Linked DNA regions of Saccharomyces cerevisiae S288C. The gene in region 1 interacts genetically with each later gene. Each region holds a gene or a part of one and is shown in the gene's direction. Other genes may lie near its edges.

Region 1 (5,837 bases):
CATTAGCAGTGTCATCATTCTGCATGGCGAAAAGTGCAAGAATCTGGAACTTTATGGGCAAAAGGGTCACAACGTAGGAGATGGTGGTATTGACAGCAGAAAGACAGCAAAGAAAGAGAGAAATTGACAAAAATAACGATATCTGTTTTGTTAACGAATCGAGATCGTGCTGGTAATTGAACCTGAAAAACGAAAAATCCAAAATATTTGCTATCGTAATGGCTAAAGGATCGGATGCTGCATTTTCACTAAAATTTTCATAATCGTAGTCATCTGGATATTTGAGCGAGTGGTATATGATATAGGGGATTCTTTTCAGGAAAGTTATTATTAGTTTATGAAGACAGTATATGATAAACCCGACTTCAAAAGCTTTCTTAAAAGTGCGTACCTGAGGGGACTGTTGTAATAATGCTTCCAATTTCCCAAGCTCCAGTTGATACCAGGCGATTTTTTCCATCAACTCTGCTTTAAAAGTTGAGTTTTCTCCGACCTCTTCTTCTAAACTTCTTAATATTTGTACATTTTGTTCAATGTTGTGTTCATAATCTTGGATTTTTTCCTCTATATAGGCGTCTGTTGTCCATAAGAGAGATTTACTGTTATTGTTGCTGTTGTTGATGTTTCTAAAACTGGGGTCTGACATTGGTGTATTACGAAACTTGTGCCAGATGACTAAAAAGTTGTAGTATAAACTAGAAACAGTGGCTAACCCAGATAGGGAAGCCATGACTGTGACGCCTCCGATGGACAATCTAGTTAGAATATTTTTTGTGTACTGGAACGGTCCAATATTTATGTAACTTAACAGCGCAATAAGTGTGGACAAGATTATGCATGTCACTATTATCAACCTATCGATATCGAACTTGTCATTGTAGAATTTATTCAGTAACGATATTATAATGAAAAAGGGCTGAAATAAAATTAGTATGAAGGATAGCATGATTGCAGTCAGAGGCCACACCCAAGTCGTTATGAAAGTAACTTCCTTGTCCATTCCAGCAACCTTAATCTGCCATAGAATAATCTCTATGGTTACTGTATACGTCATCATTGCTAATGAAAAAAGGACTCGCAGTGATTGCAGTACCTTATGTGAGGGTAAAGAATACTCTGTGTAGAATTTATTTATGAAATTACCCATACTAGACACATCCTCATTCGAGCCAACTTCCATTTTGCTTGCCAACGGAATGACATTTTTCTTCGAGGAAGTTGATATAATGTCAAACAAAGACCCTACTTTAAACCAGAGCCTTTCATAGGAGCATTTGTAAGCAAATGCTCCGGATACGGAAAGCACTATAAATACGATAAGTGCCTCCATCCCGTCCACCACTTAGTCTACACTCAATAGTCCTTTCTAGTGCAGGTCCTGGAGGCAACCGCCAGAGTTGAGATCTTTTCCTTTTCTTTCCCTGCTGGTCAATTTTTATTGTTCAGGACTCGGTCATCGCAGATATCGCAATTTTTCACTCGTTTGAGTCTAGACTGTAAAATAAAACCGAATGGTTAAGCTAAAATAGACTCTGTATGACTAAGTCGTTCACTAAAGTTCATTATTTCATGCCTGAATGACCTTTATCTTAATTATGCACCATCATATAGCGTTTCTATGATCACTACGGGATATTATGATATTGTTAGGGGGTTATATTGAATATTTCTTAGGGCATGAGGATGATATTAGGGTTATTAATAGGTTTACAATTATATAATTTATGTGATAATTATCACTTGATACGAATTGATGGAGCCTGCTTCTTTTTTTTTTTTTCACTTTCTTGGCAGTCACTGAAAAACTGCATTCGAATACAGGTTTGAGAAACTAATGAGGCCCATATTACTTTACAATGAACAGTAACAATCAACTTAAATGCTTAAATAATCTAATATTGTATCTGCATTGATAATACATTGGACAGAAATTATGGACGTATGTTTGATTTATCTTACTGTGGCCAGATCGGCCTTTCAGTACTTCTAAGGTTTTATACTAACTTCTTTTATTGATCGTTGTAAACTACGGTAACAATTATGTATCAACAGGATGGACGGAAAAAAGAATTGCATGATTTGAACACCCGAGCTTGGAATGGCGAAGAAGTCTTTCCCCTGAAAAGTAAAAAACTGGATTCCAGTATAAAGAGAAACACTGGCTTTATAAAAAAACTAAAGAAGGGTTTTGTGAAAGGTTCAGAATCTTCATTATTGAAAGATTTAAGTGAGGCGTCCTTGGAAAAGTACCTATCAGAGATAATAGTGACGGTAACAGAATGTCTGCTAAATGTTTTGAATAAAAATGATGACGTAATTGCCGCTGTTGAGATCATAAGTGGACTTCATCAAAGGTTCAATGGCCGATTTACTAGTCCGCTTTTAGGAGCTTTTTTACAAGCTTTTGAGAACCCCTCTGTTGACATTGAATCCGAAAGAGATGAGCTTCAAAGGATAACCAGAGTTAAAGGTAATCTTCGGGTATTTACCGAGCTTTATTTAGTTGGAGTTTTTAGAACATTGGATGATATTGAGTCGAAAGATGCTATTCCAAACTTCCTACAGAAGAAAACTGGGCGAAAGGATCCGTTGTTATTCAGTATTCTCAGAGAGATTCTTAATTATAAGTTCAAATTGGGCTTTACTACCACTATTGCGACCGCATTTATTAAGAAATTTGCACCTTTGTTTCGCGACGATGATAATTCTTGGGATGATTTAATATATGACTCGAAGTTAAAAGGTGCGTTACAGTCTCTGTTTAAGAATTTTATAGACGCCACTTTTGCGAGGGCCACAGAACTGCATAAGAAGGTCAATAAACTGCAAAGAGAACATCAGAAATGCCAAATAAGAACGGGAAAATTGAGAGATGAGTACGTAGAGGAGTACGACAAGTTACTTCCAATATTCATTAGGTTCAAGACATCTGCAATTACTTTGGGAGAATTTTTTAAGTTAGAAATTCCGGAGCTTGAAGGTGCCTCTAATGATGATCTGAAAGAAACAGCTTCTCCAATGATCACGAATCAGATATTGCCACCCAACCAACGATTATGGGAAAATGAAGATACAAGGAAATTTTATGAAATCTTACCAGATATCTCAAAAACAGTAGAAGAATCACAATCTTCTAAAACAGAAAAAGATTCAAACGTTAACTCAAAAAATATCAATCTATTCTTTACGGATTTGGAAATGGCAGATTGTAAAGATATAATCGATGACCTTTCAAATAGATATTGGTCATCATATTTGGACAACAAAGCCACAAGAAATCGAATATTGAAATTTTTCATGGAAACACAAGATTGGAGCAAACTGCCAGTGTATTCCAGATTTATTGCAACAAATAGCAAATATATGCCGGAAATTGTTTCTGAGTTTATTAACTACCTAGACAATGGCTTCAGGAGTCAATTACATTCTAATAAGATTAACGTTAAAAACATCATCTTCTTCAGTGAAATGATTAAATTTCAATTAATACCATCGTTTATGATTTTTCATAAGATTAGAACATTAATCATGTATATGCAAGTTCCAAATAACGTAGAAATTTTGACGGTTTTGTTGGAGCACTCAGGGAAATTTCTGCTAAATAAGCCAGAATATAAGGAATTAATGGAAAAAATGGTCCAACTAATCAAGGATAAAAAAAATGATAGGCAATTGAACATGAACATGAAAAGCGCCTTAGAAAACATAATTACTTTACTTTATCCCCCTTCTGTAAAATCATTAAATGTTACGGTAAAAACAATAACGCCTGAACAACAGTTTTATCGCATATTAATTAGAAGTGAACTAAGTAGCCTAGACTTCAAACACATTGTCAAGTTGGTTCGGAAAGCTCACTGGGACGATGTAGCTATTCAGAAAGTGCTGTTTTCTCTGTTTTCAAAACCACATAAGATTAGCTATCAAAATATTCCCTTATTAACAAAAGTTCTAGGCGGTCTATACAGTTACCGCCGCGATTTCGTCATCAGATGTATAGACCAAGTACTGGAAAACATTGAGCGAGGCTTAGAAATTAACGATTATGGACAAAACATGCATAGAATATCAAATGTCAGATACTTAACTGAAATATTCAACTTTGAAATGATAAAATCCGATGTTTTGTTAGATACTATCTACCACATTATTCGGTTTGGTCATATCAACAATCAACCCAATCCATTTTATTTAAACTACTCAGATCCACCGGATAATTATTTCAGGATTCAACTAGTCACTACAATTCTGTTAAATATCAACAGGACCCCTGCAGCTTTTACTAAGAAATGCAAACTTTTGCTGAGGTTTTTCGAGTATTATACTTTTATTAAAGAACAACCTTTACCCAAGGAAACAGAATTCAGAGTTTCAAGCACATTTAAAAAATATGAGAATATTTTCGGAAACACTAAATTTGAAAGGTCAGAAAATTTGGTAGAAAGTGCCTCAAGGTTGGAAAGTTTACTGAAATCATTAAACGCAATAAAAAGTAAAGACGACAGAGTGAAGGGATCTTCTGCAAGCATTCACAACGGTAAGGAGAGTGCTGTTCCTATCGAGTCAATCACCGAAGATGATGAGGATGAAGATGATGAAAACGACGATGGTGTCGATTTACTAGGAGAAGATGAAGACGCGGAGATAAGTACACCGAACACAGAGTCAGCGCCAGGAAAACATCAGGCAAAGCAAGACGAAAGTGAAGATGAAGACGATGAGGACGATGACGAGGATGATGACGATGACGATGACGATGATGATGATGATGGAGAAGAAGGCGATGAGGATGATGATGAAGATGATGATGATGAGGATGATGATGATGAAGAAGAAGAAGACAGCGACTCTGATTTGGAGTATGGTGGTGATCTTGACGCAGACAGAGATATTGAAATGAAACGAATGTATGAAGAGTACGAGAGAAAACTAAAGGATGAGGAAGAAAGGAAAGCGGAAGAAGAATTGGAAAGGCAATTTCAGAAAATGATGCAAGAATCCATAGACGCAAGGAAAAGCGAAAAGGTTGTTGCCAGTAAAATTCCAGTAATTTCGAAGCCAGTCAGCGTTCAAAAACCTTTATTATTAAAAAAGAGTGAAGAACCTTCTTCAAGCAAGGAGACCTACGAAGAGTTATCCAAGCCAAAGAAGATTGCATTTACGTTCTTGACTAAAAGCGGTAAGAAGACACAATCAAGAATTTTACAATTACCAACGGATGTGAAATTTGTCTCTGATGTCCTTGAAGAAGAAGAGAAACTAAAAACCGAGCGAAACAAGATTAAAAAGATTGTTTTAAAACGTTCTTTCGACTGAGATTCTTTTGCGAATATAGTTCTTTAAATTTTTACTATATATGCCCACTTATGTTTGGCTCTATTAAATGGCTACGTGTTTATATAGTACCGTTTATGACGCTGTATTTTTATTTACACTGCTTTCCAGGAGATTAAAGAGCGGAGTGTTAGTCAACTCTCACGACAACAACAGTTATATCGTCTTCTTTACCACCGCTGTAGTTTTTGCCAGTTAGCTTAGAAATCTCTTGCGCAAAAACACTGGGGTAATTGGGGTCCTTGCTTAAACTGACAACATTGTCCACAAACTTCTGGGATAATAGCTGTAACTCATCGTTTGTTCTCGCAGCGTTATCCTTCAGAAAAAGCTCAATATCATCTGTGGCAATATTATCGGTTACACCATCGGTAGCCAATATAATAATATCCTTTTTTTTCAATTGGAAGCTATATTCATCAGCGTCTCTGGGGGTGTTTAAAATATACTTGCTACCCCTTCTTTCGGCCTCTTTCAACATTTCTTCTGGAATGATTGACAAT
Region 2 (4,164 bases), on another chromosome or scaffold:
TCACTGAGCGGTACTCTATATGTGTACCAAGGACAGGAACTGGGTGAAATCAATTTCAAGAACTGGCCTATCGAAAAATACGAGGATGTCGAAGTTAGAAATAACTATGATGCGATCAAGGAAGAGCATGGAGAAAACTCGAAGGAGATGAAGAGGTTTTTGGAAGCAATTGCCCTTATTTCCAGAGACCATGCTAGAACACCTATGCAATGGTCTCGTGAGGAGCCAAATGCTGGTTTTTCTGGTCCTAATGCTAAACCATGGTTTTACTTGAACGAGTCTTTCAGGGAAGGAATTAACGCTGAAGACGAATCCAAGGATCCCAACTCGGTTTTGAACTTCTGGAAGGAGGCCTTGAGATTTAGAAAGGCACACAAGGATATTACTGTATATGGATATGATTTTGAGTTTATTGATTTGGACAATAAGAAACTGTTCAGCTTCACAAAGAAATACGACAACAAAACATTGTTTGCTGCTTTGAACTTCAGCTCTGATTCGATTGACTTCACGATTCCAAACAATAGCTCGTCGTTTAAGTTGGAATTCGGAAACTACCCAAGAAGCGAAGTTGATGCGTCTTCCAGAACATTGAAGCCATGGGAGGGCAGAATTTACATATCTGAATGATTGATGATTGTGACGACAAGATTTTTATACATATACATATACTTATTTTTATCTATGTTACATACCGCACTTTAAATAGTAACGACATATATCTGGTAGTGCGGTATGAGTTATGTAATACACTAAAGTATAGTTTTGTGTAGCATTTTCCATATGTCCTTGCATTGGTATTGTATTATAATAATGCTGAGAGAAGGGTTACTCTATAGCTCATTTGGCCAGATAATACGGCGAGTTATGTGCATATAAGAACAAGTACTAGTGAAATTATATATTATTGTTTATGATCAACAGAATCATCTCTACTACACACTGCATTATGAACTGCAGCCACATTTATCTAAGGGCGGAACGTACCTATGAAATGTCTCTACTACTTTTATGAAGATACTGATTTTTAGTTTGTCACAAATTTTACGATTCTGAAAACACATATACTTTCTTTTATGTTGATAGAGCAATAACACAATGGCCATTTAAAATCTAGCCAGCAAAATATATTCACCGGTTCGTACAATCTCATTTACTATTCCCTCTGAACGTCTTGACTTTGCTCCGCCAGCAAATTTTCCAATCCAACATGCAAGTCACGAAATGACGAATGAAGGCTGTATCAATCGTTCCTAACTGAGGATGGCTGAATAAAAATGAAGGGAAATTCTACGACAGTTTTAATTAGTTAATGAAGGGGTGTGAAAAAGTTAGAAAAAAAAAAAGTCAAATTCAGGAGAATAGACAAGCCTACATTTTCTGTAGTTCAAAACTTTTTATGGTTTGACTTTGTTTTTTTTTTTTTTCGTTTTTCTTTTTTAGTTGAACTAATGGGACCCTCAAACCTAAAATTTTCCGTTTTCGTTTAATCCTCGCATCATATATACCAAATAAGGACACAGGGTTTTCAGTGAGCAAATGTAAGGGTTTCTATGGATTATAAGCCCTTCGGATCAGAAACAGGGTTCCGTAGTTTGGGCAAGAATTGCCCTTAGTCCTGAGTCAACTGCAAAAATCTGTTTAAATTATTGCACCCAAATGTGATACAAATGTATACTATTATAGAGGCTGCCACGGCTTACAATTGCACCCCTCTGTGGCTTTTGAGTGGCGAAGGGTCTATGTTTGGATAATAGAGATGACTTATTTAATTGAAATGATGGTTTGGGTCCTAGCAGAACTCTAATATAGCAAAAAAGTGCTCGTGAATGTCTCTCTGAAAATGCTGGAAACTGATCACTCTAGGAATGACAATTTAGACGATAAAAGCACTGTCTGCTACAGCGAAAAGACAGATAGCAATGTTGAGAAGTCTACCACGTCTGGCTTGCGCCGTATAGACGCTGTCAACAAGGTCTTGTCTGACTACAGCTCTTTCACAGCTTTTGGAGTTACGTTTAGTTCACTCAAGACCGCCCTACTGGTGGCTCTGTTTTTGCAGGGTTACTGTACTGGACTCGGAGGGCAGATTTCGCAATCAATACAAACCTATGCCGCTAACAGTTTTGGAAAGCATTCTCAAGTAGGATCGATCAATACCGTCAAATCAATAGTAGCCTCTGTTGTCGCAGTGCCATACGCACGTATATCTGATCGGTTTGGACGTATAGAATGCTGGATTTTTGCGCTTGTGCTCTATACTATTGGAGAAATTATTTCTGCTGCTACTCCAACGTTTTCCGGACTTTTTGCAGGTATTGTTATACAACAGTTCGGTTATTCTGGATTTCGTCTTCTTGCTACAGCACTGACTGGTGATCTGTCTGGATTGAGAGATCGTACATTTGCGATGAACATATTTCTGATTCCCGTGATTATAAACACATGGGTAAGTGGAAATATTGTTAGCTCAGTTGCTGGTAATGTTGCACCATATAAATGGCGTTGGGGCTATGGAATTTTTTGCATCATTGTGCCCATCTCCACCCTAATATTGGTCCTTCCCTATGTGTATGCTCAGTACATTTCCTGGCGCAGCGGTAAGTTACCACCATTAAAATTGAAAGAAAAAGGACAGACCCTGCGTCAAACGCTCTGGAAATTTGCGGATGACATAAACTTAATTGGAGTCATTCTTTTCACTGCTTTCTTAGTTTTAGTATTATTACCTCTCACAATAGCTGGTGGAGCCACCTCCAAATGGAGAGAGGGTCACATTATTGCAATGATTGTGGTTGGTGGCTGCTTAGGTTTTATCTTTCTAATTTGGGAATTAAAATTTGCTAAGAATCCATTTATCCCACGAGTATATCTAGGTGATCCAACCATCTACGTTGCATTGCTAATGGAATTTGTATGGCGTCTAGGTTTGCAGATTGAGTTAGAGTATTTGGTCACCGTGTTAATGGTAGCATTCGGAGAATCAACATTAAGTGCGCAGCGGATAGCTCAGCTTTACAATTTTCTACAGTCATGCACTAATATTGTTGTCGGCATTATGCTGCATTTCTATCCTCATCCGAAAGTCTTTGTAGTCGCTGGGTCGCTTCTTGGTGTCATCGGAATGGGTCTTTTGTACAAATACAGGGTGGTATATGACGGGATTTCGGGTCTTATTGGCGCTGAGATTGTGGTCGGTATAGCTGGTGGTATGATACGTTTTCCTATGTGGACGCTAGTGCACGCTTCAACCACCCACAATGAGATGGCAACTGTCACTGGGTTACTAATGTCCGTTTATCAAATCGGAGACGCAGTAGGTGCTTCCATCGCTGGTGCTATATGGACTCAGCGTCTGGCAAAGGAGTTGATACAGCGACTCGGCTCTAGTTTAGGGATGGCAATCTACAAATCACCACTCAATTATCTAAAAAAATACCCTATTGGATCAGAGGTTCGTGTTCAGATGATAGAATCCTATTCGAAGATTCAACGCTTATTGATAATTGTGTCCATTTCGTTTGCGGCTTTCAATGCTGTTCTCTGTTTTTTCTTGCGTGGCTTTACTGTAAACAAGAAGCAAAGTCTTTCCGCAGAAGAACGAGAGAAAGAGAAGCTCAAAATCAAACAACAATCATGGCTCCGTCGTGTAATTGGATATTGAGCTGGAGAGTACTAGCGATACAAATATAGTGTTAAGCTCTTTCCTGAACTAGAATTCTCTTTGAAATAATCACTGTTAATGTAAGTAGTAATCAATAATGGCGTGTAACAGTATAATATTGTTGTCTGAAATAAAAAACAACAAAAAGTTCGAATTAGTTTTATTTTATTTTTCTTTTCTAACTAAGTGAATATCCATACGTTTGTTACGTTTATTTCAGCAATATTATAGTCTTAAATGGGCTTGACAATACAAAAATCAATGAGATTATTCGCACCTGTCATTTCCCGTAGTTTTTATAAAGAAATATAAAAAAAAATGTTGCGAAGAACTTTTACTAGAGCGTAAACGAATTAAAAAAAATTAGTAGTGTAAATATAATCACCACCTGCCGTAAGCCTGCTTGAGCCCTTTATTATTTAGTTTTAGCTGTTGCTAACCTGACTTTCATACTTCTTATAATTGACGTCATAAAAAATATTCAAAGTTCGAAAGAATGA

The links. A genetic interaction does not mean that the proteins touch.
Region 2: mutations in NMD2 (region 1) and ENB1 together harm fitness more than expected from each alone (negative genetic interaction), as found in Saccharomyces cerevisiae (2 studies listed by BioGRID).

What each region holds. Positions count from the first base shown.
Region 1 is NC_001140.6:251,853-257,689, reverse strand, and holds NMD2 (Nmd2p), read left to right. Parts: upstream 1-1,933; coding exon 1,934-1,939; intron 1,940-2,052; coding exon 2,053-5,316; downstream 5,317-5,837. Other genes in the region: YHR078W (uncharacterized protein), read right to left, coding at 1-1,330; type 2C protein phosphatase PTC7, read right to left, coding at 5,465-5,837. UniProt on the Saccharomyces cerevisiae protein: Involved in nonsense-mediated decay of mRNAs containing premature stop codons. It interacts, via its C-terminus, with NAM7/UPF1.
Region 2 is NC_001147.6:18,991-23,154, reverse strand, and holds ENB1 (Enb1p), read left to right. Parts: upstream 1-1,843; coding exon 1,844-3,664; downstream 3,665-4,164. Other genes in the region: oligo-1,6-glucosidase IMA2, read left to right, coding at 1-630.